Xenopus tropicalis: one gene and its partners. The protein of the gene in region 1 interacts with the protein of each later gene in a pairwise test. Links are inferred from orthologs where the notes say so. Each region holds a gene or a part of one and is shown on either strand. Other genes may lie near its edges.

Region 1 (5,485 bases):
ATTTTGTCCACTGTCAAATTAACATCCAGTGCCTGCCTAAACCTAATACAACTGTATTCATAATGGATTATCAATCATTTTTTATTTACAAAGCCTATTATAGGTTTATGGGGAACGGCACACAGGAAACTGGAAATATAAGCATTTTATTAAAAGGGAGAACATATGGTATTGTGTGCACTAAACAGTCAGATCTGCATATTTCTATTTAGTAAATGCAAACTAGTTTACATTTTCTTTTTCAGTGCAGTGGAAGGGCTTATATTTTTCTCTGCCCTCTTTAGATGTAATCTTTACAGAGTGTAGCATTACGGCTGCTTGTGGGGGCCTGTCTCTGCATGCTGCATTGTTCCTACTGTTTACCTCTTTTTGTTAATTAACTAGATGGAACAATTAACATTTACAGGATGCCCTCAGAGTTTCTGTAATACACAGCAACTTGATTCAAACATGGAAACTGAACTCCAGCCTTGTACATTTACTATGGTTTCAGTAAAGAGGTCAGCTTGCTTGATGACTGTTGCCTTCCCCTGCTAGACAAGGTAGGTTTTCAGATTAGACAGAATTCCATAGAGATCAGGAAGTGTTGGTCCAATTGTTTTTCCCTGCTGTAAAACTCGTAAGTGATATTACACAATCAAAAGTTTAATTACATTAGAACCATTAGAAGAAATGAACAACCATGATACTAAATCATCACCTATGCTCTGTCCAGGCATGAAGATTTAAAAGTGTATGATCAAGTTATTGCAGGGAGCTTGGTTTTAGTTTTATCTTATAAAATGATTAAATGTGGCACAGTTCTTCGGGCTCACAAATACCCACAGTCATACAGTGTTCAAAGGCATAGCAATTCTTCCATGAAGTTCTGAAAGTTCTACCCAACTCTCTATGCGTAGTAGAGAACTCTCCTATTGTGCCAGCCAGCACTTCTGTATATCAGCCATCCTGATGTTATCTAACATATGAAGATTGATATGCAGTTTTGGGCTGCCAATATTGCACTGTAATTAAACAGATGGACTGACGTAATGTTTTTTTTTGTTAGGCAGTAGAAGGAAGCTGTTTAATCCATCTTTGGCCAAACACATAAAGCAAAAACAGGGAGTCAGGTGCACAGATACCAGGCAGAGGTCTTACTGAAGGAATGTCATAAATATATCATACACACAAGTACAAAAAATCCTTTGGCTCCAGGTAAATATCAGTGTGATATCAGCAGCAATGACATTTGTACCAATTTATATAAGACAAAATATTATGTAAAGCGGCTGAAATAAGTATAAAATATGCAAAACACAAACATTAAATAAAGGTTTCATTGAGATTTGACATGTATTTATTTATTTATACATTCCATAGTGGAATGTTTGTGGCACCAACAGAATTTGCAACCACTGTGGCAGAAGGAAATAAAAATTATGGTGGGGGGACAAGTTTAGTCTAAAGCTGGCCATACACTCACTGATAATATCGTACGAAACCCCGTTTACATTGTCACATTTATTCAGTCGAACTGCACACCTGGAACAGACTGAATTCTATTGCCCCAAGTCAAGACTTCAGCATGCCCACATGACAGAACTGTTAAAGTATTGTTATTTTTACAGTACAAAGTGCAATGTACTAGAACAAATACAAATCTGTGCTTGTATAGCAAGCTCCTGATAAATTCTTTTCTAAAAAGGGTGGGGAGCCAGCATCTTAGCCTTAGTAGTTATTTAGCGGATCCTATTAACTACACACATGACAGTATATGTTAACCATCTGTGGTCTGAAAGAGCGTGGTAAAACAAATTGCTCAGAAGTCAGAGAAGAATTTCACCCACCTACTTATTTATAAAAAAAAAATGGGTTTTGTTCTTAATGTTATATAAGCTACAACACATAACTGAAAACAGAGGCAAGATCAATTTCATTAAAAAAAACAAAAAAAAAATCATTGTTGGACAGTAGCATAGGCTCCCATGAAATGTCACAGATATTTTATATTAAGTCCAGATGCTGGCGTTTTATAACTATACATACATTCACTCACCAGTAAGCCTGCCTCTCTATATATACTGTAGATATATACATATTTAAACACTTGTTTATCTGCTGCATCAATCAATCCATCAAATGCAAATAAAACTGTTGTAAGTTATGTAAATAACTGTTTGTAGTTTTTTTAAGTTCCTTGCTCTTGCCTTATGCCCTGTGTGTGGGTTTTGAAGCTGAAGATGAGTTCCAATGAGGGCAAAGTAACTTAAGTCAGAAAAATTATTCACTATGCAAGCTTTTTATCCTTTGAACATATTTAATATAGGGTTTGCAAACCAGCTAAACTATTTAGCAACCCATATAACAGTACAAAAATACTGTGCAGTTTATTGTTTGCATTAGTGCACAGTATAGGTTATAAAGCTTCTTAATTAAACAAAAAAAAATTTGCACAAAAAATATGCCACCTTGCAGCAGGTCTTACAAATGTGTTATGTGTAATTAAAAGTCACAATGCAATATTTGTCTAATGCATAATATTGCAATAATAGTCAAATAATGCATTGCTGAGCACACATTTTTGTTCTTATTTATGCAATTATACCATAGGATGATTTTTATTACATCCACCCACTAAGTATCTCTTTTATAGAGGTGTTTCTGTAACCATTCTACAAGGACATAGTCACAAGTTTATACACAGGGTGACTACAAATGTACACAGCTCACACTCCAGGACAGTCTCTGCCATCACAAAAGCATGTCTTTTCAAAACACAAGACCAATTTCTCAGGATAATTTTGTAATATTGCTGTCACAGCCCACTGAAGGAAAGGGATTTACTTTCTTGTGTATTTCCTGTATCCTTATAGTTCCCATAGGAGGCACAGGGAGTCCCCTTGTCCCATATTCAGACCAGAGGAGGATTACCTGTATCCAGCCAGGTAGGCTCACCCTATACTCCTGGCTACACTCTGTAGGTCACAGGAAATCAATAAGTGGATGTAGAGAGAGGCAATTCACTAGCCAAACCAACACTGCCACTATCAGAAACGCAGAAAGTCTGATAACCCTTTGTGTGCCAGGGCTGGCTTCCCTACAGGCACAGAAGCAATGAAGTGGCAAGTGAATTTCTTTCCTTACCTTTCTTTTCTTCCAGAGAAAAGCAGGACTGACTGACGAAGAAGACGCAGATATATAATCCCACACTCCGGCTAAAAGACCCCATCCCGAGTCTTCAGCTACCCCCAAGAACAGAAATGAGGATGGATCCTTCCTGCAGTCCTGTGCTTTATCTGCTGCCTCTGACACCGGTCTTGTTTCAGTGACCCAAATCCACAGAACGCCTCACATCCATTGTGAACACGATATATACCCACGGGGGAGCGGAGGGAATAGAAGGAAGCTGAGAGCGTTGGACTCCGAGCTTATTGTGGGGCTCTCTCACATGAGACAGTCCAGTGTCTTCTCTTATCTGGTGTATGGAGAAACAGCAGGGAGTAAACGAAGTGCCAGTGACAGGAACTGCTTATCCCTATTTCCACACTCACTTCCCAGGAGTTGCAAAACTTTTGACAGAACGAGCCGGTCTGTGTGAGTCCCTCACGAAAAGAATCTGGCATGTTTGGCTGCTGTGACATCACGGAGAGGTGTGCCTCATTCCACTCCCCCTCCCACAGCCTTCCTCACACTCCAGGACGAGCCGAGCTACGGGCATTATTATCGCTCACTCCTGGCAGAGCTTCATAGGAGCAAGGGAAGCAGCGCCACCTATTGGTCACAACAAACACAATAGGAGACAATTCGCGCAATAATGCAGTTCACTAGCAAATCAGCAGAATCGTTTATATTTATGAGCAAAATATAATTTTGTAAATGCTGGAGTGCTTCAAAAAGTAAAATGGAAGCTGAAAACTACTGCTTGACAAATACATTTTGTCAACAAATACGTTTTAACAAAGCTAAAGTTTGTCTTTCTGCGATGGGCTGTAAAGCACCACGTCTTCCGCTGTCACATGAAACGCCAGATTAGAGTGTTCCAGGGAATCAAAAATGACACCTGTGACTGTTTGGATCAATGCGGTGCATATTAGGTGTCTAGATAAGAAGTTACCATTTAACTTCAAAATTATGGAACGTGTCAATAAAATCCAGGGCTGCAGTGATTGCAATTAAATGTAACATGTATAGGTGTCCCTGAAATTTCATGTGATCTGGTAACCCTGTGTTAAACAACTGAGCCCCCAGCCCTCCTCCAGCCACCCAGTAAAAGCTGGTAAGAGGCAGATGCCTTTTATGAAGGGCATAGAAAAAATCAAAGGGTCCTTCACTGAGCAGCCAGGATGGACCAAGGGATAATGTGGAGTTGAACCTCAGCTGACAGAAGGGCTGCTGTGAGATGCTATAGAGCAGGGATCCCCCGACCTTTTTAAAAAAGTGTTGGGGAGCAACACAAGCATGAAAAATATTCCTGGGGCTGCCAAATAAGAGCTACTTAAAGGAGAAGGAAAGGTTAAGTCACTTGGGGGTGCCAAAATGTTAGGCACCCCCAAGTGACTTAAATTGCATACTTTTTACCCCGGGCTGGTGCCCCTGTTCAGAGAGAACAGCACCAGCCCGGGGTAGCTGCAAGCGCTTCCTCTTCCGTATTCGCTGCACGCGCATGCGCAGTACAGTGAAAAAGCCGAACTTAAACATAGAAGTCGGCTTTTCACTCTACTGCGCATGCGCCGGCCCACGGATTTCGCCGGCAGCGCGAAAATGGAAGGAGGAAGGCTCGCTGCAGGTACCCCGGGCTGGTGCTGTTTTCTCCTAACAGGGGCACCAGCCTGGGGTACAAGGTAAGCGATCTAAGTCACTTGGGGGTGCCTAACATTTGGCACCCCCAAGTGACTTAGCCTTTCCTTCTCCTTTAATAGCCCCAATGTGGACTGGCAGCCAACAGAAGTCTCTGTTTGGCATTAGACCATTTTTGTTGAACTAAAACTTGCCTCTAAGCCAGAAATTCAAAAATGAGCACCTGCTTTGAGGCCACTGGGAGCAACATCCAAGGGTTTGGGGAGCAACATGTTGCTCAGGAGCCACTGGATGGGGAAGTTTAGAGTTTAGACACTATTTATTGGGGTGGTGAGGGGCTGTTTGGGCTTCTGTGTACTTGAAATGCAGGGGCTATTTTGAATCCCAGTCTTGGCCTGATTACTAATATTGTTTTCTATTCTTTTTTACAAGGGAAAGGCAAAGGGCAATCCTTGAAAACACTGCTCACAAGAAAAGTAAAAAGGCAACTGCCCTTCCTGCGTTCCTCCCCTGGTGTTTGCAGTCCAGCTGCCTAAACAGGGTAATAGAAATAGCTGTGGGTACAAATAGAAAAAAAGACAATAATAGTGATTTCTGCTGATTTATTAACCTTCGTATTATTTTCTTTTCTCCAAATCATAATTAATTTTTAGCACTAAAAATCATGAATCAAACACATTTTTTTCTATCAAGTGTAAAAACCATG
Region 2 (4,803 bases), on another chromosome or scaffold:
TAAGCATTTCATTCTAGACTGGCATGTTTAATAACATGTATATGACTATTGTATATGACTATTGTGTTTTACCAGTATGGTAAAACACACAAAAAAAACAAAAAACAGTGGGGCTCATTTCTTAATATTGGGCACATTTGTGCCTGGACAATATTCCATAACAACCAATCAGGAATTAGTGTTTTTAGCCAGCTGCAGGAAGACAAGGTAAGCAAAAAATTGCCATGGGTTACTGCCCAGTGTTGATAAATTATGCATTACAGATAAGATATTACTTAAAGGAAAACAATGTAGGTCTCTATAAAAATATATAGAATACAAAAGCTCACATGTAAAACCCTGCTTCATCTAAATAAACCATTTAAAAAAAAATATATATATACCTTTTTAGTAGTAATCGTAAATAAATAAAAAAAATCACCATTTTAAGTAACCTTGGGATCATACAATTCCCTGTGCACACTCACATGTTAGGCCACATCAGCCAATTAATGGACAGAACTCTATCTTTTACTCCCACATTTCCTGACTTCCTGTTACAGTTAGAGCTGCATTACTTCCTGATCTCTGAGGGAGCACACAGACCATCACAAAAGGGTGGCTCAAAGGGAAAAGATGTAAAAGGGCAATATATATATATATATAGAAGGTGCTTGAGAGAGGGTCAGCACTCACAGGACTTATATAAACAAATTATTTTTTATTAAAGAGGAGACTAACAGTTCTGCTTCACATGAGCCCCATGAGTTGAAATAGACTCATAATCAAGAAAACTTAGTCAGTAATTTACTGACCAAGTTTTTTTGATTATGAGTCTATTTCAACTCATGGGGCTCATGTGAAGCAGAACTGTGTTGATACAAACTTGTTACTTTCTCGGCTCACCCCTGACAGCTAACTACAGTAGCGTGTTAATTTTGATACTTTTGTTTCTGTTTAAGCTGCTGCTTAGACCTTTTGATTACTTGCTTGTACTTATTATTATTTCTTGTGTTTTTTTTTTATTTCATGTTTTCAGTTTTTTTATTGATTTATCTCTGGTATCCTGTCTCTGGCGACATATGATGACGTCATCTCCACTTTTTTAGACACTGTGTTTGTTGTATTCACCACTTTGATAAAGGCTAGAGTGCTAGCCGAAACGTTAGTCTCCTCTTTAATAAAAATAATTTGTTTGTATAAGTCCTGTGAGTGCTGACCCTCTCTCAAGCACCTTCAACATTATTTGGACCTGCACCCAGGCAACAGCAACTTATCTATACGTGAGTGCCGGCATTTACTTGGAAGTTTATATATATATATGTATTATGTATGTATTTATGTATATATATATATTTATATATATATATATATATATTGCAGTTTGGTAGGATTCTTTAATAGGCCACATTTTATGATATAAACTATTTGTTGGCTAAGTATTTGTTCTGGAGTTAGAGGTTTCCTTTAAAGCACATTCCCATCTCTCTCATTTAAAATAGCATAAGAGTGGTAATGATAATAGCGAGCAGGGAATTTAAAGACTACTGTCATGGAAAACATGTCTATCTAAAAATGCACCAGTTATTAGTGACATGGGGCTACACACGTTCTTAGTTTTGCAGGTGCCTTCAGCCATGTGACTTGTGCTGATAAACATTCACTCCCCCCCCCCCCCCTCAACTGATCAGCAGAACAATGGGAAGGTAGAAAGATAGCAGCTCCCTGACACCTGTATTGCTAAAAGTGGTAGATTAGAGAATACCACTCTATAGTAAACATCCAAGTCTGCCTCACCCAAGTCATGACTCCTCCAATTACATTGAGTAGGAGAAACAATAGGTTATCTGAAAGAAGTCCTAATGTGTAGCACTGGCTCCTTCTGAAAGCTCAGACACAATGCACTGAGATGGCGCCTACACACCAATATTACAGCTAAAAAAATGCATTTGTTGGTTCAAGAATAAAATTTTAAATGGTTGAGTGAATTATCTGCAATGTAAACAGTGTAATTCAAAAATAAAATACATTTAACTTTATTTAGAATTGTTTTGGTTGTTTCACATTTACTCCAGCATTGTCATTATTACATCTTTAGTACACTGTCCTTTTTTCCATTTCTTTAGCCTCTTAGAATAGGTTATCATTTTTGTGGAGTTTTTCTCAATTTTAGTCACAATGCTGAATTGATTTTTCTTCCTGTGATGTGACTTCATCAGCCAGTTCAAATAGACTTCATCAGCCAATTAGAATATCCAAGGCTATTGTGATACTAATATCTACAGTTAGTACTAGTGGTTGTATTTATAGCTTATGTATGTGAGTATAGATTGGTAGGTGTGGGTTAGGTGTGCTGGGTTTACTTGGATGGGTTGAACTTGATGGACACAGGTCTTTTTTCAACCCTATGTAACTATGTAACTATGTAACTATGTAATTATAATATTCTCTATTAGAGTCCTGATATATCATCATTGCTGCTAAAAAATACCAGGGGATCTTTTTGAACACATTTTACCTTTTCATGATTAGTGAAGCTATTTATCAGATTATAAGATATCTCTCCAATCTGTGCCTTGCGTGTGTATATATTTATAAAGCTGGACAAGAATGTTATATTTAGGGGCAGATTTATCAAGTTTAGAGCTTAATACACAAAAATTCACCCGTGCTCTTTTCATTCCTATGGGATTTTTAGAAGTGTATTTATCAATGGGTGAAAGTTAGAATTCACCCATTAGTAAATTTGCTTATTCATATCCCATTGGAATGAATAGAACATGTGTGAGTTTTTGTATATTAAAGTACAAGGAAAGGTTAATATAAACTAAAGGCATTATTTTTAAGTACTTACTGCATATCTAAATTCCCAGATCCCTGCTTGCTTCTCTGAGATATGGTGCTGGCAGCCTACAGCAGTGTGAAGACTACAGTGACATCACTGAAATCTCTCTCCCCTTCCTGTAGGCTGCCAGCGGCAGTAGCCTCCAGTAGCAATGCACATGTGCGTAACTTGATCCTGTCTCCTGTTCTGAGCTACACATGCCCACCAGCCAATCAGAAGCGGATCTGGCAGAGGGGAGGGGGGGGAGGGAATGAAACACATGTGTATGAAGCATGCAGGGAAAGGAAGGGAGAATACCTTTTTAAAGATGTCTGCCTGGTCAAGAAACCAGATAGAAAATGTGAAGTAAGTGTGACTGAGTAAATATTTGATTAGGTGAGCCAAAAGTGTGGGGTTTTTACTAAACAATATGAGGACTATTGGGCAGTGTGCTTTTTAAATTTTGACTTGCATTCTCCTTTAAGCTCTAAACTCACATTTTGATAAGTCTGCCCCTTCATGTGCAAATTCTTATTTGCGCTGCAATTACCCATACAGATCTATGCTTGCACACTCTGCATTTGAGTAACCCCAATAGAAAACATATTCGCAAAAAAGTTTTCTCAAATTGCAAATTTATATTTGCAAAACTACCCTCAATGCAAAGTTCGCGCACACCGACTACAAACAGTGGACATGCTCACGCAAACACACATCTCATTTGCGAGCCATATGCAAATATTTTTGCAAAATGTGCATCTCACCACGATTCACAAAACAGCGGTGCAATATTTAAGCATTAAGGGGAAAACATAATCATTAAGTTTATTAATGAACCCAAATGACTGTAATGTAGTAATGAATGTATATTAGGAAGCTCGCAGACTTTAAACATATTAGCTATTCTCAGTGACTGCTCATATACCGGAAGGGAACCTCTCAGCAGGCCTGCTGTGTTTTGTTTTTCAGTAATCTAGATGGGTTTTTGGAAGAGTTTGCAGACATCTCCAAGGAAGACCAAATTAAGAAACTTCATGACTTGCTGGGACCCCACATGCTTAGGCGGTTAAAAGCAGATGTCTTTAAGAACATGCCAGCCAAAACAGAATTAATAGTACGAGTGGAGCTCAGCCAAATGCAAAAGTAAGTCTGTATGAAAACCTGTTGGTTAACACTATGTAATCATTTCCAGTTATCATGTGCTACTAAAAACCCAATGCTTAGTCATTCAGATATCACTTATGTTTGATAAAATAGCTCCAATGCAGTAGAACTGAATAAAACATTGAGTGAATGTGGTATAAATCTGAATTTATATTCACAAAGTATTTCTTTCCTTACTATGGGAGTTGTATGCATATATCCATTTGAGATTATATGGGGTCAACTGCTAAGGAAAACAAGAGTATGTGCACCCAGGAAGCCACTGACACTGGGGAGCAGGGATCAACAGAAAGTAAAAGTGTTAGGTCTGTGGTGAGATTTAAAAATTGCTTAAAAATAGTTATATAACTACAATTTGTTTCAGTGTTTCAACTTTAGAATTTGTTAGTATTATTGGAAGTTACCCTAATCATACACACAGTAGTTAATAATTGGCTTCTTTTAATGTAGGTGGAAATAATTTGTCTACCTGCTACAAGATTTAGGATCAAAATATTAGAAAATATACAGATGCATTGGGCTTGTTTAGGTGTGTTGGGTTTGTCAAATGTCTTAGGACAGATGATATCCTCACTTGAGGGGGTTCAGGGTAGTTTTGCCAAATATTGCTCAATTTAGACGTACTGCCTGGGCACATCCTTTCACTGTTTCCATGATAAATTTCATTCTGCTTGCTTTGATGCAGGAAGTATTATAAGTTTATATTGACAAGAAACTTTGAGGCTTTGAATTCAAAAGGAGGTGGAAACCAAGTTTCATTGCTCAACATCATGATGGACCTAAAGAAGTGCTGTAATCACCCTTATCTCTTTCCTGTCGCTGCTGTGGTATGTACA
Region 3 (4,803 bases), on another chromosome or scaffold:
ACACACATTTTACACTACAGGCCATGTACCTATACCACATGGCTAGCAGGAACACATAATAAAAGAATCATACTCCTGCAAGTCATCCAATGTGGTATACCTTATCCCAGCTACAGGGCTATATGTGGGGTAAACTGGAGAAACACTACACCAGGGGATGTCCTCCCACATAACCAACATCAATTTTGGAAGAACAGATCTGATGATCTTCGAGTCATTATACTAGTGGGCAACTTTAAAACACAACATGAGCGAAAGGAATGGGAATATAAATGTATGCAAAAATTCAATACCCTACATAACAGCCTTAACAGGGAAAGAAGTTTTATGGCTAGATATGGCTTATAATACCTTTATTATGATCTTAAGGTGTAGAGTAAGATCACCCAATTTATTATACACAGTCTAAAACACACACCATTGCTATTTGCTTTCCCTAGTTGTGGGAATGCATATCTTCATTTTGCAAAATGGTGAAATATCTGTATCTTATGGTAGTCAATAGGCAGGAATTTATCTGGGGGCTAATATCTCGGTGTAACGTAGTTGTGACATAAGTTCTGCTTTATGTACTCAAAATGCGGAACTCTCTGTCAAACACTCATATTTCTTTTTATGTAAAGAAATGTAAAGAAGGCATGGCCCAGTGTTTCCACCACAGTGATGACTTATTAACTTCTGTCCCTGATTTTCAGTTTGGAAATCTTTAGCGTTCAGCTTCTGATGTCACTCAGGCAGCAAGCAGAATAGGCAGCAAGAAGTGCCAATGCCGGTGTGGTTGACAGACTTGTTGGTGCAGTCAGTGTGTCTGTGGTTTTCTCTGCAGTTGCATTTTATTTCAGGAGTGGGGGCTGGTAATCTCAATTTGGATGGGTTGAAATAATAGTAAAGCAGGACCACTGCACTGATTAAAGCATTTGCCTTTGGGTGCCAAAATATCTTGACCCAGGTCTGCTCCCTGCACTTCCATAAAGTTGTGTATGAAGCTGCTGCCTTCCTGCTTTCTGTTCCAAATTTTTGCAGCTATGCCAAATGCTGGAAATGGCACCAACTGGACTTTCGTGTCAAAGTGCTTCAGTTTTAATACATTAGCCCCTATTTGGTCAGATGCATCCAATGCCAGATTTGTAACTACGCCACCCAGAGGCCACCCCCATCCCCCGCCCCCTCCCCGCGCTGAGGATTGCGCAGATTCGCATCCACTTATTCCACATATGCAGCACTGGGGACAGAGCACCCAGTGCTCTGTATTTTATCAAAATTTAGGTGCAGTTGGGTGGCATTTTTGTGCTGCCCTAGGCCTAGGTCTTTGTGACCTCGCCAGAAATCAGGCCCTGGATGCCACTTGATCTCCACTTGTTGACTACAATTATTCTGGACTCATGGGGAAAATGCTGCATTGTGCTTATAAAAACATGGGAATTTGCACTTAGCCCACAGCAGTTGCGGTCATAAATAACCCCTTATCCAGCATTCATGTCAGTCCCTGCCTCAATGAAGCTTACAGTCTAAGTTCCTGTCACATTCACACACAGTAGGGTCAATTTTGTCATAAGCCAAGTAACCTGTCAGTTTGGGAGGAAACTGGAGTACCCAGAAGTAACCCACGCACCCATAGCACCTCTTGATACTTTACTTTGCAAATGGTGCCATGTAGCTGCTTTGTGACATTATTTTATTTAAATAAGGTACATGACTGTTAAACAGTATGCTTGCTATTTCATTGAACAAACATTGGCATCCATCAGAAAATGTTAACCTTGGTAAGCTTAAGAACATTCTACCAGCCAATTACTGTATACACAGGATCCAGTTAGTTATAATCTATGTGCCTGCATACAGGAAGCATGGTGTTTTTCTCTTTGGGGATTTCCCTAGTCTAAAGGTTATTTTCTTATTGCTAGGACAGTTTTATTCTTACATTCTTTTTAACTCTTCATTGCACAAGAGAGAAACTTGCGTGCAGTATCTGAAAACAAATAACTTATGTGTTGGTGTGACAATAACTGTTACTTCGTAACTGTACGAGGAATGTAGCCATGAAATAGGAGGTAATGTAAGCAATGATTCTAAAATGTAAAAGTGTAAATGATTGGTGAATGACAATAATTTGAACTTTGTGGATCTGTGCCAGAATTGTAATCATTAACAATTTTTTATACTTTAATCATTCCTTTTCATTAACCATATCTTACTAAGTAAGAGTAGCCAGAAATAGCAAGCCTCTGGCCATAGGAACCTAAAAAAATAATTTAGAATTTTAAATTCTACAAAATCATTTTTAAAACTCGTGACAGGGAGTCAAATTATGTACTACAAAGGTTGCAGGGCCCAGGAACCTTTCTTTATCCTAGGAACTTAAAATAGCTCTTTCACCACAGTGAGCAAAAAACTCAGTGAAAAGTGACCAGGAGATTGGGGGTGTTAGAGTATGTTTGTTTGAGTAGCAAGAAGGGGAACTATGGGATGGCAAGGAATGGGATTTGCAGACCAATAATGGCAGGTCATTTAGTGATACTTTTAGCACAAAATAAGTTCTTTTTTTGTCTGACTTGACTTTGGTCAATTAGCAATTTCAGTATTTATGCCTGTATGTATATGATTTTTTTTAAATAAAAAAATAAGCTCAGACATGCAATGTTAAGTGTGAGCAATGACTTACATTGTACTAATGCTTATCTGAATCAGTAGATGTTTTTCTACAATATAAATTCTGGTACTCATGTGGTTAAACTCCATGTTGTTTCACCTCCCTCTTTAGAAAAATTACTGGAATGTAAGGCAACACCCAGCTTCCTGTAAAGCAGCTAGTACCTGCAGTCATTACAGTCAAGAAATCTTACCTGCAACTCGTTCACCTGCTTACCAGCCATGTCCAGAGCAAAGACACCTGCTCCTGAACATTATTACGAAGAATATCTTTATAAAAAAGACAAAAATGACAGGGTATGTAATTTGCTTTAGTAATGCTTACTACCGTCCTTTCTGAACATTTTAAACAGCCTTGCAGTGCTAGCCCTCTGACTGAAATTATCAGCTAGGGAAATAAGCTTTATTCATGTAGAAATCATTTTATTGAGATTTAGGCAAAATGAAGTCATAAAAGCACTGAGTACTATAAAAATATGTCTTTTCTGCTTTTCTCTGTCTCTCTTTTAATTTCACCTATTGTTTTCACGCATATTTTAACTTGTTACGTTGTAACACATATTATGATTGAGCCCATTTAAAGGAATTGCATGGTTTATGGAGCAAAGAGTCAGGCAACATTTAAAACTGAGTTTTGCTCTTTTAACTTATTTTATCTAATGCCAGATTAGGTTTTCATTGCTCACAGTATGCTGAGGATTGCTTAACCTATCAGCTCTTTAACTTGGCTAGCTTAATTTTTCCTTCTCAATACTTGACCTCTACCAGGGAGAGTTGGCAAAACCCTTTCCTATTTGCCTACAAGCCCCTAATCCATTATGGAGCCCTTTATCTCTGTATAGCCCTTATTTAAAGTACTGTTCAGTACTGCCAAGTGCTTTTGCTGTATTGAGATTTTATACAATCATTTCCTGTCCTGACATAAAAGAACACAAAAAAAAACTTAACAATGCCTCATTTTATCCTGAATGACATTTTATCAAATCTTAATGTTTTATCCCTTTTTCCATGCATTGCTTTTAGGGATTTACAAAGCTTTGGGCTGGAATTTTAGGAAACACTCTGTGCTTCTACTCCAATCACAAGGATTTGCGGGTAAAACTACTTGTTCATTTACAAATAAAGAGGATGGATCTTAATGCCTTTTTCATTAAAGAAAGCTATTATTCTCCATTTCCTTTTGAATAGAAGGCTGAGAAGGAGAGGGAGGTGCACTATTCAGTTACACAGATACTATGAAAGTCCATTTAGCTTTTGCAAAGCCGTTTTAGTGTTAACAGGAAGAAAGTAAGAATAATAACCAGCTTTGCAATTTTCAAGTAAAGTTCTTCCTGATTGTAAAAATGCCTAACTTGATAAATTAATGGATCAGCTACTACTAATTCTATTTAATAAATAGGTATATACTTCACTTCTAGAAGGACATCCAAAATGTTGCCTCTATCTAATACATTGAAATTGTACAAGATTTTACATTTTCTAAACCTTCAGGCCCTACAAGAATCAAATGTCCTACTTTCTCATAAATTAACTCCTGTGAACCCAAACCATTTTTAAACCCATCCTTTGATTCACTCCAGATTATCTCACCGAGCCAGCAAATACATGAATTTAATTGTCATTACAGTAAAGAATAATTCATATTGACAAACTTTTGCATAGTTAGGTTTTAGGTCTGTGTTTAAATATAGCTAATGCAGTTCAAAGTTTAGTCTACAGAAATGACTGCCTTTTAGAAGATTTATACATCTTATAGATTTTTACAAATTTATAGATTGTAATATCTGACATTTTTGCTGGTTTTAGAGCATTGACACCATCAGTTTGGAAAATTATGTATCTCTGAAGGAGCCTGGTGGTAATTTGTCATCAGAAAATCAATTTTCCTTGTGCATGAAAGGGCGAGAAATACAGCTAAAGGTGAGTGTTTTGCACACAGACACTAAGCTACCCCTTGTATATCAACCATTGATAAAAGACGAATAGAGATAAGAGAACAGTCCAGAAAAAGTACAAGGTACAAGCTGTTACAGGGAAGAATATTCCTGTGCCAGTCACATGACTAAATTACGGCCTATGGGGAACTGCAGTAATAGCATAATAAAGTAATACAATACATCAAGAATCGATATTAGCATAAGAACGATGCTGGAA

What was found.
Region 2: the proteins of egfr (region 1) and chd5 interact in a protein complementation assay, tested with the Homo sapiens proteins (2 studies listed by IntAct). The link is inferred for Xenopus tropicalis from reciprocal best matches to the Homo sapiens genes EGFR and CHD5.
Region 3: the proteins of egfr (region 1) and stap2 interact in a protein complementation assay, tested with the Homo sapiens proteins (3 studies listed by BioGRID and IntAct, with this or other methods). The link is inferred for Xenopus tropicalis from reciprocal best matches to the Homo sapiens genes EGFR and STAP2.

What each region holds. Positions count from the first base shown.
Region 1 is NC_030682.2:56,742,923-56,748,407, reverse strand, and holds the start of egfr (epidermal growth factor receptor), read right to left. Parts: upstream 3,233-5,485; 5' UTR 3,212-3,232; coding exon 3,127-3,211; intron 1-3,126. UniProt on the Homo sapiens protein: Receptor tyrosine kinase binding ligands of the EGF family and activating several signaling cascades to convert extracellular cues into appropriate cellular responses.
Region 2 is NC_030683.2:98,554,285-98,559,087, reverse strand, and holds part of chd5 (chromodomain-helicase-DNA-binding protein 5), read left to right. Parts: intron 1-3,772; coding exon 3,773-3,946; intron 3,947-4,652; coding exon 4,653-4,794; intron 4,795-4,803. UniProt on the Homo sapiens protein: ATP-dependent chromatin-remodeling factor that binds DNA through histones and regulates gene transcription. May specifically recognize and bind trimethylated 'Lys-27' (H3K27me3) and non-methylated 'Lys-4' of histone H3.
Region 3 is NC_030677.2:93,954,252-93,959,054, forward strand, and holds part of stap2 (signal-transducing adaptor protein 2), read left to right. Parts: intron 1-1,969; exon of another isoform or gene 1,970-2,051; intron 2,052-2,761; 5' UTR 2,762-2,871; coding exon 2,872-2,946; intron 2,947-3,672; coding exon 3,673-3,744; intron 3,745-4,455; coding exon 4,456-4,569; intron 4,570-4,803. UniProt on the Homo sapiens protein: Substrate of protein kinase PTK6. May play a regulatory role in the acute-phase response in systemic inflammation and may modulate STAT3 activity.